Linked DNA regions of Caenorhabditis elegans. The protein of the gene in region 3 purifies or fractionates together with the protein of the main gene of each other region. This does not show direct contact. Each region holds a gene or a part of one and is shown on either strand. Other genes may lie near its edges.

The links.
Region 1: the proteins of F46G10.1 (region 3) and ppat-1 fractionate together in Caenorhabditis elegans (co-fractionation; one large-scale study listed by BioGRID). This does not show direct contact.
Region 2: the proteins of F46G10.1 (region 3) and spp-14 fractionate together in Caenorhabditis elegans (co-fractionation; one large-scale study listed by BioGRID). This does not show direct contact.

The regions. Positions count from the first base shown.
Region 1 is NC_003281.10:4,687,738-4,694,790, reverse strand, and holds ppat-1 (Amidophosphoribosyltransferase), read right to left. Parts: upstream 5,512-7,053; 5' UTR 5,447-5,511; coding exon 5,358-5,446; intron 5,158-5,357; exon of another isoform or gene 5,020-5,157; intron 4,734-5,019; coding exon 4,328-4,733; intron 4,282-4,327; coding exon 4,021-4,281; intron 3,786-4,020; coding exon 3,476-3,785; intron 3,428-3,475; coding exon 3,312-3,427; intron 3,017-3,311; coding exon 2,852-3,016; intron 2,808-2,851; coding exon 2,712-2,807; 3' UTR 2,620-2,711; downstream 1-2,619. Other genes in the region: T04A8.8 (Rad60/SUMO-like domain-containing protein), read right to left, coding at 1-262, 309-478, 525-786; nifk-1 (RRM domain-containing protein), read left to right, coding at 1,502-1,705, 1,751-1,864, 1,913-2,428, 2,473-2,562; tag-243 (Costars domain-containing protein), read left to right, coding at 6,581-6,610.
Region 2 is NC_003284.9:7,721,597-7,729,000, forward strand, and holds spp-14 (Saposin B-type domain-containing protein), read left to right. Parts: upstream 1-4,382; 5' UTR 4,383-4,383; coding exon 4,384-4,539; intron 4,540-4,588; coding exon 4,589-4,744; 3' UTR 4,745-4,787; downstream 4,788-7,404. Other genes in the region: K09F5.6 (Protein tincar), read left to right, coding at 1-496, 540-899, 947-1,030, 1,081-1,314, 1,380-1,709, 2,076-2,275, 2,330-2,522, 2,651-3,013; vit-1 (Vitellogenin-1), read left to right, coding at 6,305-7,177, 7,230-7,404.
Region 3 is NC_003284.9:13,307,832-13,316,391, forward strand, and holds F46G10.1 (BTB domain-containing protein), read right to left. Parts: upstream 3,925-8,560; 5' UTR 3,896-3,924; coding exon 3,824-3,895; intron 3,744-3,823; coding exon 3,685-3,743; intron 3,641-3,684; exon of another isoform or gene 3,634-3,640; coding exon 3,522-3,633; intron 3,300-3,521; coding exon 3,174-3,299; intron 2,637-3,173; coding exon 2,469-2,636; 3' UTR 2,396-2,468; downstream 1-2,395. Other genes in the region: srxa-8 (G_PROTEIN_RECEP_F1_2 domain-containing protein), read right to left, coding at 1-54, 413-690, 745-858, 906-1,014.

The DNA.
Region 1 (7,053 bases), on a different chromosome or scaffold from region 3:
CCTTGCTTGCTTCAATGAGTGGATGTGGTAGTGTCATCGGACGCCAACCCAAGCTTTGTGGTGTCGTGTATGTGTCAATTGTCTTGCCATTGTGACTGAAAACTACACAAGATACAGGGCATCCCCATTTCGTCGCATAAATTCTTCTAATTTCAGAGAACGTCGATTCGAGAAAGATGTCATGACGAGATTTCATATCATTTCCGTGACTTTCACAATCCAGAATAACCACTGTGACGGGAAAGTTTTCAGCAGCAATGCTCTAAAAAATAAGCAAAATTTAAGAAAAAAACAATTTTTCCTCTCACTGATTCATCCGCGTCTGAGTCGTCTTTCACATCTTCAACCTCCGGTTGTGCTCCTGATTTTGCAGCTTCGTCCCAACCTTCACAGATTTTCAACAGTCCACTAATAACATTGTTTTTCTCGACTGGTGCGTGAATAACGGTCTCTCGCTTGTAAATAGATCGACGATAAGCTAAAATATTTGTATGAGCTGTATAAAAAAGTATGATAACACTAACCTTCTTCTACATCATCAATTTCGTGTCTGACTTTTTGGGAGTATGTTTCTTTCTCTACTTCAACGCATTCATCATCATCCGAGTCGTCCGGAAAGAGTTGGGTTTCCCGCGTCTTTTTTCTCATTGGCGATGGACCGCTGGTATCGAAATCGTCGTCTGAGTCGTCGCTCTCACAAACTCGTACCGGTTGTCGCTTCTTTTGGAGAGCAGCTCTTCGATTTCCCAAATAATCGCTGTAGGCATTGTCGTCCGAATCACTCATTCCTAAAAATAAACTAAATTGGAAACGATTATTTATGCTAACATAGATCAAAACGATATCACGATTGAATCTGGAAATATTGAAAGGGAATCATTAATCACTACACAAAAATGAATGCATCTAAAAAACAGCAAAAAGGAGAATGACTTTTTCGGGAAAGACGTTAATGTTGTTTTGAAATGTAATTATTTAAGAAAGAACGCATCGAAACTCAATGATCGACGAGTCGAACAGAGAGGATAAATATAAACACTTTAAAAAACATTGAACAATTTTACGTCTCGGTACATAACTACCTCTGATATTAGGCAGTGAATAAAAGCGAAAAGTTAAGTAGGAACTGATTGGAGTTTTGAAAATAGAAAGTATGTATTTATTGTCTAAACCGTTTAGAATAATAATTGACCTTCGTGATAAGAATAAGAGATCAAAAATCGGTTGATTGGATGAAAAAGTTTAGAAATGCGACGAAACAACAAAAATGTTTGTGTGCGTGCGCTTCAGCACGAAACATGCGCCTTGCACGGAAACTGCGTCAACGAAGAAACGCGCCAGTAACACTGCTTTTGTCCCTCACAAAATTTTAAAGCTAATTTTTCTACCTTATTTCCTGATTTTTCATGTTTGAACAGCTGAAAACTCTTATAATTTGCAAAATATTGTTTTGAAAATTTTTATTGCACGAAATATACACATTTTTCAGATCTCAGACACAATGGTTGCCCAGAATCCAACTTCGATCAGTTCTGGAGGACGCAAGCAACCTCAGAAGCAAGACAAAGTCCAAAAAAAGCAGCTGAAGAAAATTTATGTTGTCAAGATTAAGCGTATTCCGTTTGGATTCTTCGAGAAGGAGTTGCTCGGGTATTTCCGTCAGTTCGGAAATGTGTTGAGAATTCGTGTGGCCAGAAACAGACGCGTAGGTTCAGCAACCTGTTAATATAGTATTAAATCATTATTTTAGACTGGTAATCATAAGGGATGGGCGTACGTTGGATTCGACAACAAGGCTGTTGCTGAAATCGCTGCCGAATCAATGAACGGTTACTTGATGTTCGAGCAACGTCTCGGGTGCACGGTAGGTCAACTTCTACCATTATATCCTTGAAAAACTTATTAAATTTAGGTGATGAAACCAGAACTTATCCCGAAGGCAATGCGCCATGGCCCACTGCTTGTGATGCGTCCATCTTACTTGGGCATCGCTAAAAAAGATACAATTGCCAGAAACAATACCACCGGAAAAAATGACGTCATCAATGCCAAGAAACGCGTGCAAAATCTCAACAAAACTTTGAAGAAGCTGCAGAATATGGGGATCAACTATGATTTCTCTGTGTCTGGAACACCAAGAACGCCACTTAAGAAGGTCATTGACAATGAGGTTCAATTTATCAGTGATGTCACCCCGAAAAGCACGACTCCGAAAATTGTGAAAGCTGCAACTCCAAAAGCAGCTACTCCAAAGGCCGTGACTCCAAAACAAGCAACTCCGAAAGTTTCCACTCCAGTCACCAAAAAGGTTGTCATCAAGACTCCTAAAACTGAAAAGCCGGAACCCAAACAGTTCACTCCAAAAACTCGCGCAGGAAAGAAGGCAGCTGCTGCTGCTACTCCACAGGCTAAATCTACGCTATCCAACGTACGAAAAACTTTAAATAAAATTTGGTTATATTAATTTTCCAGACAATCCTCAAATCCGTCGCTGCAAGTGCCCGTCCAGCTGCTGTCGAAAAGAAAACATTGAGATCTCGTGGAAAGAAGAAGAGCTTGTAAGCGTCCTGATTTCTGTTGTTAATCATTTTATTTTTTTTCCGCAAACTGTTGTTGTTCTTATTTTTATACACATTCATTGTTGATTTTTAATTGAATTGATTTTGTTTTTCATGAATACAAATAATCTATTCAAACTTTTCAAACACTAATTATAAATCGATAGCAACTGGATATTTTCCAGTGAGACATGCGGTGCAATGTCCTGGAGAGAAGTTGGCAGCTCGTTCGATTCCTTTTTGAACAGACTGAAAAAAAATTAAATTGAGGAGAAAGTGAGGTTCAAACTCACCGAAACTAAACCGTCAACCGAAAGATACCGTACTGAATCGGCTCCAACAAATTGGCAGATTTCTGGAATTGTTTTTTCGGCAGCAATCAATTCCTTTGTGGTTGGAATGTTGATTCCCATAAAACATGGGAATTTTACAGGCGGGGAAGCAATTCGTAGATGAACCTTTAAATTTAGAGGTATTATTTGAATAATGCGGTCTTGACACGATCGAAATTTCTAAGATACCGTACTCTACCGTATACTCCAGTTTCTCGTTTTTATGTATTCCGCTATTGTTTTCTTAATATTTGCTGAACATCTAGATGCACAGTTTTACAACAAATATATGTATTGGAAAAATCTGCAAAAACGGAGAATTACTCGCGTTATACGGTAGCTGAAAATTTTTGCTCGTGTCAAGACCTTTTTCACGGTTTATAAGGTGAAAAATCATTATTTTTAACAACAAGGGTAATACCTCTTTTGCTCCAGCATCTCTTAACATTTTTACCAAAGTTCTCATCGTATTTCCACGTACAATTGAATCATCTACTAACACAATCCTTTGTCCATGAATCTTTTTCTTCAATACTCCTGAAATAGAATTCATGAAGTCTTTCTAAATAGTTTTCTTTATTTTACCAAATTTCATTTTAATCGCATTTTGTCTCATCTCATCATTTGGTTCTATAAATGATCTTCCAACATATGAATTTCTGTGTAAAACAGGTTCATATGTGATTCCAGACTGAGAAGCGTATCCAATTGCTGCACTCAGCGAAGAATCTGGAACATTTCCAACAATATCTGCTTCTAGATCATCTTCAAGAGCCATCGTTTTTCCACATTCTTCACGAACAGTTTGTACTTGTTGTCCTTCAATTTCTGAATCATTTCGTGCAAAATAGACATATTCGAATATGCACATAGCCAGAGGAGTATTCGGTTTCATCTGAAATGACTCATATAATTCCAGGTTTCTGATTTTTCAGCATAGCCCATCTGTCTCGATTGTAATTTTGGAAAATACCAAAAATAACCAGAAAGTCTAAAAACTACATGTATTTGCAAAACTTTAAAAACACTTTTTTAAATTTTAATGTCTAACAAAATACATACATGAGAAAATGAGGTCAGAGAAGGCGGTAGGTAGGCGCGTAGGCAGGCCAAGATATATGTAAGTTTACCTGCCACACCGACTTGATTCCTCCTGTCGATAATTCCACAATTTCTCCTGGTCTCACTTCGAAATCTAATTTAGCATTTGCAGGAAATGCACAAGATTCAGAAGATGCAATGAATGCTTCTGGATTTCCATTTTTAGAATATACAGTACCAACACAAAGTGGACGATTTCCAAATGGATCACGAATTGCGTATAGTCTATCAAATGTCATTACTAGTAGAGAATATGACATGTTTAGTGCAGACATTGTTACTGCGAGCTCCTGAAGTTTTTTGGTTTAAGAATTTTCATGTTTTTCAAAAACTCACTCTTGTAATATCACCCATCTCTTGTCCATACTTGCATTTTACATTCAGAGCAATCGCTTTTGCAATCATTTGAGCAATAAGCTCTGAGTCAGTGTCAGTTGATAAACCAACACCTTCATGAAGTACTTCCTTTCTTTTTTGTTTCGCATCAACCAATTCTCCATTATGAGCAATTGCTACAGTACCCATTGCAGTATATACCACAAATGGTTGTACACAATTGATTCCAGACTTCTTCTTTCCTGCAGTTGAATACCTATTATGACCAATTATTATCGATTGCCCATTCATTCTTGAGATATTATCTTCAGTAATCACATCTCGGACAAGTCCATGACCTTTGATAATTTCCACGTGGTCTCGAGTGATTCCATCTGAACCAACGAGTCCTGTTGATTCAGTTCCTCTGCAAAATATACATGATAAGAATTGCAAATTTGCAACTAATTTGTTTTAGTATTTTATTTTTCTATCACGCACGGAAAACAATTTAGAAACTAGACAATATTTGCAAGAAATGCTAGACTTATTCATTTAGCTATTTCGATTTTTTGCAAACTCAAAATCACTGCACAATCTACTTGTTTGCAACAATGTCAACCACTGCAACGCTACAAGCACTTTATTGGTCGTGTGTCCGAGTGGTTAGCGCTGTTTGCTGTGACCCACGAGACGCCAGTTCAATCTCTACATACGCGTCATTTTCATCCAATTGGCAACGTGATTCTAATGTTGGCGATTCAGCGTATTTCTGACGCAAAATTGATAACTTCTCCATTGACGTCTAGTCAGACTAAACTGGCTCGGATACAATTAGGGAGTTTACACTTTTGCCTTCTTGTGGAACGATGGCTTAAGTTAAGCAGAAGCGGAATGAACGGGAAGAGAAAACGAGAGCTTTTTGAAAAATTAGATATTTAGGAATGAGGAGCTGAACAGTTAAAAATTCAAACTGAAACCAATGTAGGAGATGTATGAAATCAAACTTTTTGAGACAGAGCTTATTAAAAATTTAAACTTAAAACCCCACCTGTGTTGAAGAGCAGCCAATCCATTTGCAGCAAGAACATTCAAATGCTCATAATTTCCAGCGGCAACAATCCCAAATATACCACACATTGTTCGGTGTGATCGTCGTCAGAAATCAATTGCCTAATGTGCATGTTATTATCTTTTTCGATGCTCTGAATGTTTGATACGCCAATCATAAAACCTTTACACCCTCCACCTGCTATGTTTTTAAAGTTATTGCCTATTTTTCATGGAAAAGTTCACTTCTGTCGATAGAGCCAGGTTTTTGAACTTTTTCCGCTGATAAGAACAAGTGAATGTCTAATTGAAGTTTGATTTTAAAAGGAGTTTTTAGGTTTAATTGAAAATAAACACGTTGCTCGGGAATACGATAACTATAAGATGTGAATGAAATAAAACTTAACCTGGCGCGAGAGCTAAAATCTTCGGCTTTCAGAATCTGTAATTTACTTTCGCAGCAGATGCATGGAAATCTGGAGAGTTTAATTTTAAAATGTAATACTGAATCTAATGAAATTCCTGTTTGAAAAAGGTTTGTGAGTATGTTATCAAACTTTTGCAACTTTCTGACAACATTTTTCTGTAAAATTTTTTTTTTTCTGCCAACTTCAATTTATTTGAGCAGATTTTTTTAGAGTGTCATGTTGTGTCTAGAAAGTAGATATTGTTGTCACTTGGACTCCGTAGAGCCCGTCCGTCCCAACTTTGCGGATGTATGTGCTTGGTCAGGTTCACCCACGTCAACAGTTATCAACTGTCAATATGGACTTCGAAAATATTCTTTACATACTTTCCTGTTAATATCTGAATTGGTAAAATGGTTTTCGTTCTTTGAAATTCCAACACAATTCAAAAATCAAAATATCCCTCTGTTTGTTATTGAACATTGACCACCCAGTTGTATTTACAAGTTGACATTAGGTTTTTGAATTTCAAAAAATTTCCGAACAACTTCGCTTTTCTCCATTTTACTTGAGCTCCCTGTCAAAAATAGCCTTTCTGTATGTGTGTGCATTGTTTTATATTTGAACAGCGAAATTGCACGTGAGACGAAGAGACGCAGACAGCAAAGATTGTCGCGAAAATGAGCGCCCACTTACTTTTTGGCTAAACTTATCAAAATTGCTCAAAAAATAAGGAGACAGTCAAGGATATATCTTTTGAAAGTTAAGCACACATATCTGAAATTTGTTTTACTGAAAAAAGAAGTTGCTCAAGAAAATGCCAAGTCAATCAGTGGAAGAACAAAATGTAAGTTTAATCCATTTTTATATTCGTTTAGATTTTTGTAAATTAGAAAATATTAAAGGTACATAGGTGAACTTGAAAATTATTTTTGAAGAAAGTTTTGAACGTTTATAAAAGTGACTCACAAAACTATTAAGTAGTTTTGAGTATTTGCTCAATTTTGTGGTGACTTATATGTCACATATTTAATCAAGATTCAACCACTCATATTAATGGGAAAAGTATTCTAGTTTAGAAGTAGTTTTTAAATTTTTTTTTAAATTCTATGCTTCCTTGCCGCAAAAATCTTTGCTATGGGTTTCATCAATAGTGGTTTCTTAAATTTTTCCGACGCTTGATTTCCCATTTGTTAGGTCTATACATTTTTCTTGAATTTTATTATAATTTCTCTAGCTCTGCTTTAAAAAAAAAGTAGTCCAAATCAGGCGGACAAGTTCACCCGACAG
Region 2 (7,404 bases), 5.6 Mb from region 3:
CCAACGCTCTCGTCAATTGGCAACTAACCTTCCAATCGGTGAGACACGACTTCAGGGATTCCGGATAACTGCCGACGAATTGGCCGGACTTCCAGTATCGCCAAACCTTTTACCCGTTCTGATGCACATGAAGCTTTTCGGAATTCCATTGGAAATGGTGAATCTTTTCATTGCACTTGTGGCATTTGCAATTGCGTACCCAGCAGTCTTCTGGAGAGTTTCCAAGCCATTTAGTGTGATCTTCTCACTCCACTTGGTCATCTACGCGGCACAGGTTATCTGGGGTTACTTGTCGTTTTCTATTCTTTTCCGGATACAAGAAACAAACATTCATAGTGTGAGAGCAGTTGGACTAGGGCAGTACCTTGGACCCATAAAGCCACTGGGATTCCATATTTATCATCCATATGTCATTCTTGGTTCTTTCGTGGTCCGTTTGGTAATGACAACACTTGCTCCGATGGCAATGTACTCTTATGGATACAACAAGTTATATGTAAGTGATTATGATATTTTCTTTGATAATATGTTTATTACAGGCAAACGTGCTTAATGTACAACATAGAAACGCCGCCAGAACATCCCAAGGCCAGGCTGAATATGGTGATTATCGACGACGCTCCTACACAAGAGTCGATGGAAACAAGTTGTGCTGTGATGGTTATTTGCCACATATGGATGCCATTGCACTTTTAGTCATTGTTGCTGGAGCGATTGGTCCTACCATCTACGCTCTGTTGATTCTTTATCAGCATGAACAAAAAGCATTAATACTGACTTGCATCATAATTGACGTCGTCTACATGTTTTCATGGATTCTGATGTGGCTTGGAATGACCTTAAAAAGAGATTGGGATTTTAATGTTACGCATAAAGTTCATCAGTTCTATGGATTGAATGTAAGTTTGAACAATAAATTGATAGTGTCAAGCAGAATTATTTTCAGAAAGGAATGGCAATTGGACCAATTCGTGGAAATGAAAATCCATCTCAACTGAAAAACTCTATTCTTGTTGTTCATCGTGATACTGTAAGTACATATTAGTTCTTAAAAGTGAAACAAGCATTATTTTTTTAAAGATGTTTGTGACCGATGACCAAACAGCAAAACAATCGCTTCTTCGAGCAATTCACAGTGGAAAGTTTGAAATGATAAGTCCACCCGATGATGTGTACTGGAGGCAAGGTCAACAAAGTCCTGCAACTCGGGCGAAAATTCTCACCGAAGTTGACGGCGTTAAGAATAGTCCTGAAATGTCTAGATTGTTGAGAATGGGCACAGATGACACGCAACAAACGATGAGTTATCACTCAGTGAGTCTTTGTTTCACAACTATCCAATTTCGTAACCTAACATTTCCCAACATTATTTGTTTCAGAATGGTGGTCGTAACATAACTCAAGCTCAAATGACCAACTCCCAAATTTTGCAACGTGGAAACAGCTCACCACCAGGTCCTAGCCAGTTTGGAACCATACAACGCAACCAACAGCAATACAGCCAAATGGGCACACTACAACGCGGGCAAAGTGGCGGAACTCTTCAGCGTGGCGCCATGATTCACGACAACGTCTGGAATCAGTACTCGGCGATTCAAAAAAAAGACGAGCAGCAGCAACACATGCTGGGCCAACGGCGAGATAGTGGAGAGGCCGCATACGGAAGAGTTGATAGCACATACGGAAGTTACGCAAGAATTCCAAATGTGGTGGGTAGAATAAAACAGGAGTTGTTGTGAAATATGTGGTGCACTTTTGCAATCGTATGATTTAAGTTAGCAAAAACATTGGCTGATGATCGACTTAATAGTCAAACATTACATTGAGTCGATGTTTCATAATAACAAAAACTGATGATATCACGGTACATGCGTAATAACTGTACCTCAAAAAGTTTGTAAGTATCTCACAAAATATAACGTGACCCTAAACATAAGCCTGAAGCCTAAAAAACAATTGTATCATTCATTTGCCTGTTGACCATTACTGAACTTCATACGAAGCGAACATTTTAGGGTACAGCTACTAAATATAAGATACAAATTTCTGTAAAAATAGAATATTCTGAATTCCAGTCTCGAATCCAAGTAACCCCACAAGGAAGTCAAATTCGTGTAAACGGTTACGGAGGGCTACAACAAAACACACTTCAGAGACGTGAAGTCACACCTACACAACATTCTCAACAACCATCATTAAGCTCAATCCGCCAGTCTCCACTTTTATCAGACCGCTCTGGGATAAACGTGCCTCCGCCACAACCTCTTGTCAGCAGGTATCTTGGCAAACTTTATGTTCAACATTTCGATATAATTTTTGAAAAATTCAGGGAACAGTCTCCTTATCAACGGTCTGCGATCAAACTTTCTTCGTTCTCCGAGAACAAGGGTAGTGGAATATATGGAACAAGTGGTATTGGATCAGGAAATAATGTTCAATGGGGAGGTGCTCAACGAGCGGCACCTGGGCAACCAGGTCAATTGCTATGGAACCCTCCAGGAGCTACAAACGGACACAATAAGGTTATTTTATCTATTTGAGTTGTTGTATTCGAGCTTTTCTCTCATTATTTCAATTTTTTGCACGATGAGTTATTTATTCATTCACATTTTCGGCACACATCTCATTCTAACATCCACATCCATTGCAGTCATCGCTAACCAGCACAACAAATTCATCTCAAAACGATGAGCAATGCTTTACCCCGACTTCAACACTAACAAGTCACGGAAGTAACTACACTCCAACACCTGGATCTCCACAAGGATCCAATCCGATCTATTCCCGAATCAATGGAGCATCTTCCACATCGTCAAATCTTTACGGAGTTGCTTCCAAAGAAAGTCAATATGCTGACAGGACACTTCAAAAAGCACCGATCAAATCTACAACAGTGACGACTGGAAATACAATACTTCGTTCCGTGAACGGAACAGATGACACTGTATCAAGCTTTTCTCGTCCACCCACTGGAGCACTTAACCAAAATGACTTTGCTACCAGCATTGTGTGAATATTTGTTTTACATTTTTGGTAGGTCTTAATTCAAAAGTAACTAGAAATGTTTACAAATTCAAAATTTTCAAACGGAATGATTGCAACTCTGAAATATAGAAATCATCAAAAAAATTGAAACAATTGAAAGCGATATCATAACTATCTGCATCGAATTATGAAAAAAAAACCGAGATATTTTACTATTAATTTACAAAAATGTTATGATTCACCGTATTTCCTCTATTAGTATTGCATTACCCTTTAAATAGAAATAAGGAACACGATTAAACCGAAATTGTATATCATGTAACCTGATCATGTAAGCCTAATAAAATTAGTTCAGAAAACGGTTTCAAAGCCCATATAATTTTAGGATGAAATTGATAAGTTTCACTGTTCACAGAGTTTGCATTCTTAACTTTTGACAAAGATACATTTTACAGGAACCCTACTGATCCCGATGAACTATTCCCCCAATTAACACATGAACCAAATCAACTCCGTGACAATGCACTTCTTCTCGCCAAACACTTAAACAGTTAACCGCCAAACAAACACATCATCCCACTATAATTGTTGAAATTCATTTTTTATTTTTCTCTATAATTTCGGTCTTGATTTGCAAATTGCTGAAAACGGACTGAATTCTACTGTTTATGGAACAATTTCCTCGCCACTTTCTTTGATTTTCGACCCTTGTAAGTAAGCGCGTAATAATTGCCTCCCGCATTTTTATGTATAACTGATAATTTCTTCTTACGTTTTTCTACTCCTCCTCCCTTTTTTCATGTCACCCCACACCAAAAATCATCAAAAATCGTTTCCTTTGTTACTGTACTATATTCCCGTTGGATATCGGGTACATTTCTTTGAATTTCCACAATTTCTCTGAACATTTTGTCATAATTCGTTTTATTGTTTGTCAACCCCATTTGACCACATTCTTTGTTTCAATATTTTCTTTCTCAGATTTTATTGAAATCAAATTTCAAAAAAAAAAAATCACTAATAAAGAGCAAACAAATTTAAAAGTATCAAGGAATATAAGAATATGTTATTGAAATATGATGTAAACAGTTTTATCTCAAATAGAGTTTTATAATCAGACAGAGTAAAGAACTCAAAGATTCCGGATTATCGGGTTATCAGTGGGTTATAAAAGTGGGCGGGACAGTGTCATGCGATTCAAGTTTTCGTCGGGCTGAGCACTTAAAATTTCCTTGTTGAAAGTCTGTATAAAATGAACGAGACAATCGTTATGATAACAGCACTTTAACTCTTCCCTTATCTTTCGGAATTTTCATTCATTTCATTCATGACAAACTTGCAGACTGCTGATTTCTTGATAAGGTTAGAATGTCGTTTTTATATTATTTTCTTTTTAGAATGAAGACCACCTTCTGCCTTCTGGCCCTTGTCGCCGTCGCTACCGCTTTGGCTCTCCCAAGCCAACAGGACAATGCCATGAGCTGCCTCATGTGCGAGGTCGGAGTCCGTGCTGCTGAAAACCCAGCTGACAGAGAAGCTCACACCGTTGAGGACGTAAGTAGTCAAACTGTTCGTTTGGTCATTATAGTGAATATGATTTTAGAAATTTGACGCCGAATGCAAGAAGGAACTTGGAATCATTCCATTTGCCGAGAAGGAATGTGAGAAGTACGGAAACTCCAAGCTTGACCCCATCATCAACGAGCTCGAGGGAGGAACTGCTCCAGAAGATGTCTGCAAAAAGCTCAAGGAGTGCTAATTCTTTATGTTTCTTTTTCTTCTGATAAAGTGTGAATGACCTTTGAAATTGTTTATTCAGATATGAACTTCAAATTGTCAAATATCAGCGCGCCTGAAACTGATAAATCTCACTAACTCTGAACAAAACTGACTTTTCGTGAGAGGAAGAGCAAAGTTAACTACAGTGGCAATCAAAGCTATAGACGTTGACTACCAAAAAGTGTCGATTCGGCTCTAACGTGACAACTTCTTGTTAGCTCCAAATTGAAAGCTGAAATAAACTTTTTTCGTATAAGGTTATCAGGTTATTTTCTACGCAAGTGTAGCTTGAATTGTAACAATTCAAGCCTACATATGTCAAAAATTAATAAACCGCGTTTAAAATAAAATTTTACCTAAACATTTAAATCTGAAAGATGAAGTAAACTCCGATGATCAATGTTTTTTTTCAGTAAACGTTTGAATTTTTTCACGTTCTTTGGTTGAAAATTTGAATCAAACGATTTTAATAAATCTCGACAAAACTTTGTCAGTGAATGCATTTATCTTTTGAAACAGGCAGAGGTTGTCCTGTTGGTAAGCAGGCTTGAATACCTATTCCAAAATCATTCTTGATTTTTGGTTTGGTAAATGATGTGACACTTCGTTTTCACATATTCAGTCATTTTGTAATGTGTTCTATGAAAAAACACAATTAAGGAAATAAGATCTGTTAATGGCTAAAGTCACACATGTCACACCAACTATAAAAAAAATACAGTTATTATATTCCACAAAATCTCTAGTAACCGTTTCTGTTTAAAAAACTATGTTTACAATTTCGGTTTTTTTTTTGTTTTTTTTTTGTTTACAAACCTCAAATTGTTCTCGTTGCACTTCACATTTAGTGAATAACTTAGAGAAAGAAATACAACAACAAAAAAACAAAACTTTATCACATAAGGTACTCTTGTGGATATTCGAATGTAAAACTTGCTGTTTCCTGCATGTCATTTGAGAGATAAAATTGTCACCTGAAATATACAATTCTTTGATATGTTAAAACAAAGTGCACTAGCCTTTATGCTCGACTGAAAAATTGAATCAACAATTATAAATAGCAACCGTCTTGTAAAACAATTTTGCGACTTAAATATATAACCTTGAAATAAATTAAATGGCTGAAACTTCAAAGTTTTCAACTTCATCACTACAAAAAAGTTTTTAAAAAAGTACTTTGAAAAAATTGGCTATTAGTTGTTAGCATTACACTTGAAATACTTGTCCTCCACAAAACAAAATTTCTCCGCAATTGTCATAACACTTGTCATAACACTACTATCAATTGCATAAAGACAATTTGTGCATGGTCAATCAAAGTTTGATGAAACACGTAGAAATACAAAAAATTCACATTTGATAGAAGCTATTTCTGAGATTCAGCGATAATAAAGTGAAAAATTATTGAGCAACTGTCAATGTGCCAAATTAAAGCCTTATCAGTGCGCTAAATGTTGCAAACCCTTCATTTCAATTCAGAAAATGCCAATCGAAGGTTGTATATAAGGTTACCTGTGAAGAGGAAATTCATTGTCCAATCATGAGGTCGATTATTATCGCATCTATAGTGGCTTTGGCCATTGCTTTCTCCCCAGCTTTCGAGCGCACATTTGAGCCGAAAATCGACTATCATTACAAGTTCGACGGACTTGTTCTTTCCGGCCTTCCAACTGCTTCCTCTGAGCTCTCCCAATCTCGTTTTTCTGCTCGTGTCCGTATTCAAGCTGTCGATGACCGTCACATTCACCTTCAACTTGTGAATATTCACATGGCCGCTTCCCACCTCCCAGAGTCCGAGCAGATTCCATCCTTGAACTCCATGGAGCAGCGCGAACTCTCCGAGGAGTACAAGCAAATGCTCAAACTCCCACTCCGTGCTCAACTCAGAAATGGACTCATCGCCGAGCTCCAATTCGACAAGGAAGATGCTGAATGGTCAAAGAACATGAAGAGAGCTGTTGTCAACATGATCTCATTCAACCCAATTGCTCCAAGAAACGAGATTGAGAAAATCGAATCTTCTTATGACAAGGAGGAACAATCTGAGGAAAACACTTCTTTCTTCACCAACGAGAAGACCCTTGAAGGAGACTGCCAAGTCGCCTACACTGTCATCCGTGAGCAGAAGAAGACCATCATCACCAAGTCCATCAACTTTGACAAGTGCACCGAACGTTCCGAGATCGCTTACGGACTTCGTTACTCTTCCGAGTGCCCAGAATGCGAGAAGGACACCGTGCTCATCCGCCCACAAACTGTCTACACCTACATTTTGGAAAACGAAGAGCTTAAAGAATCCGAGGTCCGCTCCCTTTACACTGTCAACGTTAACGGACAAGAAGTCATGAAGACTGAAACCCGCTCAAAGCTTGTTCTTGAGGAGAACCACTCCATCAAAAGTCACATAGAGAAGGTACGTTAATCCATAACTTTTACAGTATGTTCTAAGACAAATATTCTTTCAGGTCAATGGAGAGAAGGAAAGCATCATCTACTCTTCCCGTTGGGAGCAACTCGTTGAAGACTTCTTCAAGAATGGAGATAAGGCTGAGTTCGCCCCATTCGAGAAGTTCCCACTTGACAAGAAGATGCACTTGATCAAGACTATCACTGAGCAAATACAAGAAGTCGAGAACAACA
Region 3 (8,560 bases):
AAACATACATGTAAATGGAAGTAGAATAGCATATTGGTTTTGGAAAACTGTGATCTGCAATCTTAGGAAGTTTCTCCTTTTTTCATGAGAACTGCTTTCTCTCAAAAGCAAACACTGGCGCTATTCATTGTTCTCTTCCCCCAAAAAGAGAAGCAAGTGTCTAATCGTTTCTCTTTTCGGAAGGAAAAGCTTTCCCATGGCCGAATGGTCTAGTGGTATGATTCTCGCTTTGGGTGCGAGAGGTCCCGGGTTCAATCCCCGGTTCGGCCCATTCTTTTGGCATATTCAAACGCGACACGCACTTGGCACGTTGAATTGAAATTTAATGTAACATTTTTTAAGGCAGTAAACATTTGATCTCCTTTGACGGAATTCGAACAAAAATGATTACAATGCTCAGATTTTGACTAACCGGATGTCGTTCTGGGTCACACGCAGATATAAATGACAAATGATTCAACATGAAAATAATACGACACGGTGTAAAGTATGGAATAAGTAATGATATGAGCACTACAATTGCAATAACGGCAGCATATCCGAAAAGTCGTCGTTGTGTGAACATCTCAGAGAATGGGTTGAGTATAATAGCCAATCGATTGACTGTCATTAGCACAGAAATGCAAAGAGAATGGAAATACGAAAATGTGGCTCCAAGACTAAATTGAGCACCAAATGCTGTCAGATAGTCTAGAAACGTCAAATGTTCGAATATGTTTTCAGAACTCTCCACAGGCAACTCACTTTCATATTCTTCCTCAGTAAGGAAGGCAAAAGCAGCTACATTAACATTAAGGAAAACTGTAATTAGAATTCCGGGAATGCTCATTAAAACAATATAGGCCAGTGGGAGTGCAGCTTAAAAATTAATTGAATGTAATTGACTCCTAAAATTCAAAAACTACCGTTCCGACGATTTATTATTGTTGCTGTGAGGAGCACAATGTTGTAAAGCATGCACATTGTTTGAAGTATTATCATAAAAATTAAAAACAGTTGATACTTCGGTGTCATTTTATCGAAAATTGTTGAACGCTTCAAATTCGATTAGGAGAGAATGTAGAGTCACAACTGCTGAAAAGGGATATAGACTGAAATGCGAGAAAAACGTGACAGAAATTGAATCATGCTGAATTGCGTGACAGTGATAAAAATGTGTTCGAAACTATTGGATTCTGAGAACAATTTCTCCTATTCGCAAAAGCGCCCACTAAATAAAGGGTTTTATGAGTTAGATATAATAGTGTGATTCGCAGAAAAAAAAATGTACAGGGAAGTAGAACGGAACCTCTGAAACTGAACTTGCGCACATTCTGAAAAATTTGGGTTTAGATCAAAATCGTATATTTTCGAAATTATCCGACTGGTTGATTATCAAAATAAATAAACTTCATCATGTAATTTGTCTCCAACGAAGCGTGTAAAAATATTACACGTACCATGCTGGTCAACATGGTGCTCAATGATCGTGCTTTGATATTAAACGTGGCAAAATGTTCCGGGTTCCGGGTCACATCTTGTAAATATTTCGTTGTAAATAGTTTTAACTGCAGTCGTAGAAACTTAAGTCTTAAAGAGTTTTATTGCAAAATATTTGCAAATGTTTATGTATTTTTAATAGTTTTCAAAAGTTTAAAAAAATCAAAAGAATTTTTAATAATAATAACGATTAATTCATGGCAAGATAACGTTTCATAGCGCATGTTCACATGGAGCTCGAATTTTTTAAGTATCTTTCAACAAACTTTCAAAAAAAGTTGTTTACCTATTGAGCACACTGAACAGAACATTGTTACTTTTTTAAGTCTGCACAAAACAAGTAAATAGATCTATTTTAACTGCAGGCAAAAAATAAACAGTACACGAAAACATCTGTATTAGTTTTCAGTTGCAACTGCAGCGACGCAGGCTTCAAGACACAAAAAATTGCTCAGAAACAATGCTAATTAAGAGCGCAAGACTAATTTATGCGAGGAAACTAACTTTCGAGAGAGATTCAGGACAACCAATAAAGTCCCCCCCCCCAATCAAAAATATTAAACGAAATATTTTTCTCCACATTGCTGATTTAGAGCAATTTTCCGAGTTGTATCTTTTATCAGTTTTGACTTGGTTTTCAGAAATCTGTAAAAGATTGAATATAATTTAGTTTTTGAAAATCGATATTTTCTATAGTTTTTTATGGCTAATGTAATTGAAGTTTAGTAAGACGTTTTGATTTTCGATAACTCGATTCTACCGATTTTTCTTAATTTAAAAGTGTTCAGAATTTTAAGCACATCTTTTTGGTTTCAAATGTTCTCACAAGGATCACTAAAAATAATTTGAATATGATTACTCCATCCCCCAAGTCAATTTTCAACGAACACCAAATTCAACAAGTTCGTTCAGAAGTACACACAATTTTGCACTTTATTTCCGTTATTTCATGGTCATTAACAAAGTTATTCAGAAAGAGGAAGTAAACTTCAAATGCGTCCTCCATTATTGTAGTACGTGTTGTTCGCAATTTGGTTCACCGAATTGCGAATATCCACAATATCATTGGTGTTGGCACGTTGTTCCTTTTCAATGTCAACAAGTGTCTCTTGAATTAGGTACTTGAATACCTCCATGCCAAAGAAGTCTGCTTCTCGCTGGAAAAAATAAGGGAAGTTTATATGTATTGTCAATTCATACATCATTGGAGTTATTTTCAAATTAAAAGTTGTGATTGTTTTCAATAAATTGATTTGGTGTTTCAAGATTCATTTAATATACACACTTATGTATGCTACACATTTTTTGCATAAATCTCATAGTTTCTATTTTTTATGATTGTTGACATAGTTGACATTAGTGTTAATCTTGTATTTGTTGGTTTTTTTTCCATATTGCACTTTGAATTAATTTTTGAATGATATTTCCTGGAAAAAACAATTTTTCAAAACATATTGTTTTTCCTTAACAATATCATAAAATAGTAACTGCACATGACTAAATTGTATAACTTAATTTTCTCTACCCATGCCAATTGATTAGGTATACCAATATTCGTGACACACAATCGCCAACACATAAATACCCATAAAACACAAGGCACACCTCGGTGTACCTCTAGTAAACAAGCAACTGTGCTTATCAATGACAACGCATGGTTAAGAAGGCGATGAAATTAAACATGAAACACCTACTTTGAGCTGTGCTAACACGTCTTTATCTTTTGGCAGGACAGTGTTCTTTCCGTCTCTCATAAATTGCAGAACGAATGCAAACAGACGCCCGTCCCGGTTCACGAAGATTGCTCCTGACTCATCACGCTGAAATTTGTATTGAAATTTTTTTAGAGAGAGCTATGAGGATTAAAAGCATTCTCTTGAAATTCAGAAAAATAATTCTGAAAAAAGCACAAGTAAAAATTGTTGGAAGTTTTTTCAGTAGGATTTAGGCTTTCAGCTAGCTTCTAGATAACCTAATAGTCTCCAATTAAAAAATTCTGCATCCTCATTAGTATGTATATTTATTTCTAGATTGTCACCCACAATAGTTCTCTGTTGAAGAAGCACAATTTTTCCACTGGTGCGGTCGATGCGGATAAAGTTGAGGAAATATGACGACTTTGACTGTGCCAAAGTGTCGTAAAGTGTAGTAAATCTGAAGCCTTCGTTAAATTCTCAGATCTCATGTTCTCAATTCCCAACTAACCTTGTGCCGCCTGCGTTAATATGCACTATGTCTCGAGCATGATGAGATGTGACTTCAGCCTAAACATAGTTTTATAATACTCCAATTTTCTCATTAGCTGTACAATTTATTAGAAAATTGAATCAATTTCAAGACCCACCTTTTTATAATCAGCATACTCAGCGGTATGCATATCCACACCATTTGAATGAAGAGAAGCTCTAGCTAGCATTATTAGTCAAACCTGCGTGTCCTGTGAAAAACGCGAGCAAGTGAAAATCGAGGTAATAAAACTCAATGGTCGGTTGTGTTATCAGTGACGTTAGGAAAATTTTTGAATTCACCTTGTGTCAATAAGAAGATACCATCCCATTTTCAGATTGGCAACACGTGTGATTCAACACTTTTGAAACATATAAAGGTACCTATTTTCGAAAAAAAAATCTTATTCGTGTTTAGAAAAAGTATATTGTTATCACTCAATAATAACCATTTATAATTGATCTAAAATTTAAATGAAAAAGTGAATAATATTAAAAGCGTGGCAAAATTTGAATAGTTTTTTTTGAAGCTCGCTCTGAAAAATGCCAAAAAAAACAGGCAAAGAAATATGATCAAGAGTGCCAATTTTACGAATTTGGACAAACCGTAAATATGTCAATGTAATTTTGAAACACGTGTTATTCAGGAAACCGCCAACCAATCACCGAAGTATGTCGTCTCCTTTACGTAACGCTGATTGGTCAGTGCCGTCGCATGATTTGCGTATAATTTCAAAATTTAATTGAAGTATTCATTCACCACTTGACTACTCTCAAAATAACACAACCTTTCATTTTTTGAATAGTAATTTTTGCACTTGTATGCTTATTCTAACTGGCGCCATTCTGTTTTTAAAGTTTTGTTTTTTTCACAGTTTTTGAACAAGCGGTAGGAAAAAAATCGACAGTTGCCGGTTTTCGTGCCAACAGCTCAGTCTGCTATGTATGTTCACTGAAAAAAAATTTATCCTGCAATTTCAGAACTACGAAAGTTGTTCAGGAGTAGCTTGCAGCTCAATGACGATAACAAGATGTTCCAGATCATAAAGTCAAATGAAAGTCAATTATAATTGATATTTCACTGGCAATTATTTTGTTTTTTTTTTGTTATTTTCTTCACAATATGTGCGGCTGCAGCACTATCAAATTATGTTTTATACCGCCGTAAAACTTTTCTGGCCGAAAATCTAATCTCGAAAATAATTTTTTATTTGCAAAAATGTCACTTGTTTAATCTCGCACGAGAAGTGCGAATAACTAATTTCACGTTTTCATGAGTTATTTTCTTGATTAAAACAAGGCTGCTAAATTGAAACAACAAAAATAAAAGTTACCGTACACCAAACGAAACAATATGAGATTTTGATTGGCATTTTCATGTTTTTCAAAAATAATATTTGATTTCGAAATTATGTTTAAAGGAGGACTAACGGTTCGGACGATTTTGAACGTATAAGCCAAAAATGGGCCCAAATGAACGAATTTCGTAATGAAACTGCTCAAACAATTTTCATAAATTTTTTATGGCGGTTCAAAATTTCGAAAAAATGACGCTGATTTTAGCTAAAATCTCTAATTTTGCCCATTTTTCCGTGTCACATCTGTCCGAAATTGCTTTTTTGGAATTATCACCCTTTATTGCATATATTGGTAGTTTATCTCATTTAATTTCCTTGATTAAGGTACATTTAAAGCCGATAGCTAACCAATTTTGATGATTTTTGCAATAAAGGATGATAAAAGCAATTTCGGACAGATGTGACACGGAAAAATGGGCAAAATTCGAGATTTTGGCTAAAATCAGTGTCATTTTTTCGAAATTTTGAACCGCCATAAAACATTTTTGAAAATTTTTTGAGCAATTTCATTACAAAATTCGTTCATTTGGGCCCATTTTGGGTCGATACGTTCAAAATCGTCCGAACCGTTAGTCCTCCTTTAACTGCCTGAACAATTTGTTAAAATTTTAGAGTGACATTTATATTTAAAAAAACAGAAGAAACTATAATTTTTGTTTATTATGAAAAACACTTTTTAGGATATGAGTGCGTTTTTTTTTTCTGAAAGAAGCCATTTCAAAAACCGAAACTAAAACGATAATTAACTTACTTCAGTGTCCATTCGCCTTTTACTTTTTGTTGCTGGAGTCCATTTAAACAAAGTTTGCACTACTTTTAAAAGATATTCACTCCATAAAAATTCGAAAAAAACTTTTAAAGTGTTTTTTTAAACAGAAATTATACCACCAACAAACGGATGAACCGGGAAGTGTAAAAGTTTCAAAAAAAAAATAATGCAATTTCTATCAGTTTAGTATGCGTTTTCATGTCAATCTAGGGTTATTCAGTTATTCATAAATCAATTTTAGATAACTAGGGGACCAAAATAAATTATAAAGATGAAAGATTGGGATAACGAAAAATTGACATAATTTGAGATGTTAGCAAAATTCAACTTTCATGGTGTCGATACTAAAAATGACAACATTTCAATTCTGCATCGGTGGAAATATTTTGCAAGTAGTAACATTGTTTTTTACAAACCTGCCTTATTAATGACATTTTTATTTTTTGCAATTACCATTGAGAATTGCACAGATAATTTTTTTCACTTCTCTCTTCAAGAGCTTTGCCTACTTTTCCTATAACTGCCTGGAACCCAAGCCACCATTATGCATTATCTGGGCGTATGCTTAATGAGATTTGCTTCCTGATTCTTTCAATTCCCCTCAATTCTTGCAATATGTTCCCGCACTCTCTTCTAAGTATCTTTCCGAAGGCACTGTAAACGCGCCACACGCAATTGTTTCTTCATAGTCATTTTATTTCATTGCATTGCTTCTTTCACTGTTTGTTGATTTATTGGTGTTGGATAGAATGGAAAGGAAACATTTTCTACTGAGAAACAATTATTTCCGAAATTTCCAGCAAGAAATTCAGATTTCAATAATTCTTGTTGAGAATTGTTCCTATCAGGCATATTTAAATGGATAAAAGTCATGTCAATTTTTTGGTGGACTTTGAATCGATTATTAAATCGTTAAAATATAAATGAGATTGTGTTTTTTTTTTGTTTTTTGGAAAAACAAACCAGGGGAAACATTCATGCTAGATGCCACACGTTTTATGTCACAACAACATTTTAATTTAAGGAATCCGAAAGCATGTTGAAAAATGACAAAAAATTTAGCAGAACATTTCAAACGTTTCTGAGTTTTCTACCAATTCTACCAATTTGAATTTGTATTAAAAATTGAAACTTTATCTAAAAATTATGATCACTTTGAGTAATATAAATGTGTAAAACGTCTTGTCACATTGAAATTCATATGGACAAAAGTTAGACAAAATTTTTTTGCCAACTGGGTCATTCATTTTTCACATGCTCGTGTCAGATGACACCGGAAGTTTCATTCAAATAAATTGCTAACAATTGGCATTCTGATAACAAACGCTGCAAGTACATTTCTGCTTAATTAGCCAAGCTAGTTAATTAAGTTTTGTTACTGTTATTATTGCTATTATAATAACAATTCCAATAAATCCATACATAGTGTTTTCAAAATTCCAATAAAACATATTCCCTAGTATGTTTTTTTTTTGTTTTTGGTTTTTGCCTGTCATAGAATCTGTTCAAACCGGCCTTCTATATCTCAAATCAACTGACAATTTGTCAAAAATAGTACCGTTTGCCAAATTGACATATGACATATGACTCATTCATTAACAAAAATGGGCGCATTCTTTAACGCATCTGTTTTTCATCTGTTTGCACCGAAACAAATCAAATGATTAAACCATCAACGCTGTCACATATCTTTGAAGAATGTGGTAGTGACGTTGACTATATCTTGTATTCTTTGTGTTTTGTGGTTGTATCATGTTTTTCGTGGCGTTTTTATTCGATTTTTTTTTTGGAAGAAACAATAGAAGTTATAGCGGAACCGATGTACATATTCATGTACATTTGTTATAAAATGAATTTTTAAATTGTAGTGTGATAAAATTTAAATGAAGTTCGCAGGCAATTAACATTAACTTATTTTCCACACTTATTTTCCAAAATTCCCTTTCAGTGACCAAGTGAATTTCATAATTAGTTTGACCATCAAGATTCTATAAATATAACAGAAACAGCTCAAAGAAGCATACAAAATTAACCATCAAATCCCCAAAGTTTAATTTTCCTAATACCAAGTATCAAGCTACAACATACAAGTTGGATGATTCAAGCTGATTACTAAATATGCGTTAGTTAAAGTGAGCCTTTTTAGGAATTTTATTTCAATATATTTAAACATGAGAATTATTTGAAAAACATGTTTTCAGAAAAAATTGAAGATATTCCTGATAATAGTCTTGTCCGTGTTTTTCCGAGCACTGCATTCAGTCATTTATTCATTTTTCAGATTGTCTGATTGTATTTTCATGAAGTTTCTAATATAACTGCGAAATTTAAATACTTCACACGCAATTTGATATCACATTCATTTTCTGAGATCTCGCAGACTAGAACTTATCAGCACGGATACTTCCCGTTAGTCATGGATCCCTAGGCAATAATCACAATGGTTAAACACGTCAATATTACTTTTTTCCTACTTCATTCTGTAAGATCAGGCAGAAAAATCGTTTTCAAAATTTTTACTCTTACTATGATGTACGCCAACTCTTGTGTCCTGCTTTTTCCCTACAAACATTTACTTTGAAACAAGACATCTTGGCCTCCGCAATTCAATTTGAAATTCATGAGATCTGGTAGGTTCATTCTGCTTCTTTGTCAAGTATTGCTTTGTTTTGCACAACATAGATTTTGAAATTTTACTAAATTTTTTGAAAATTTGATTTGGAAATTGA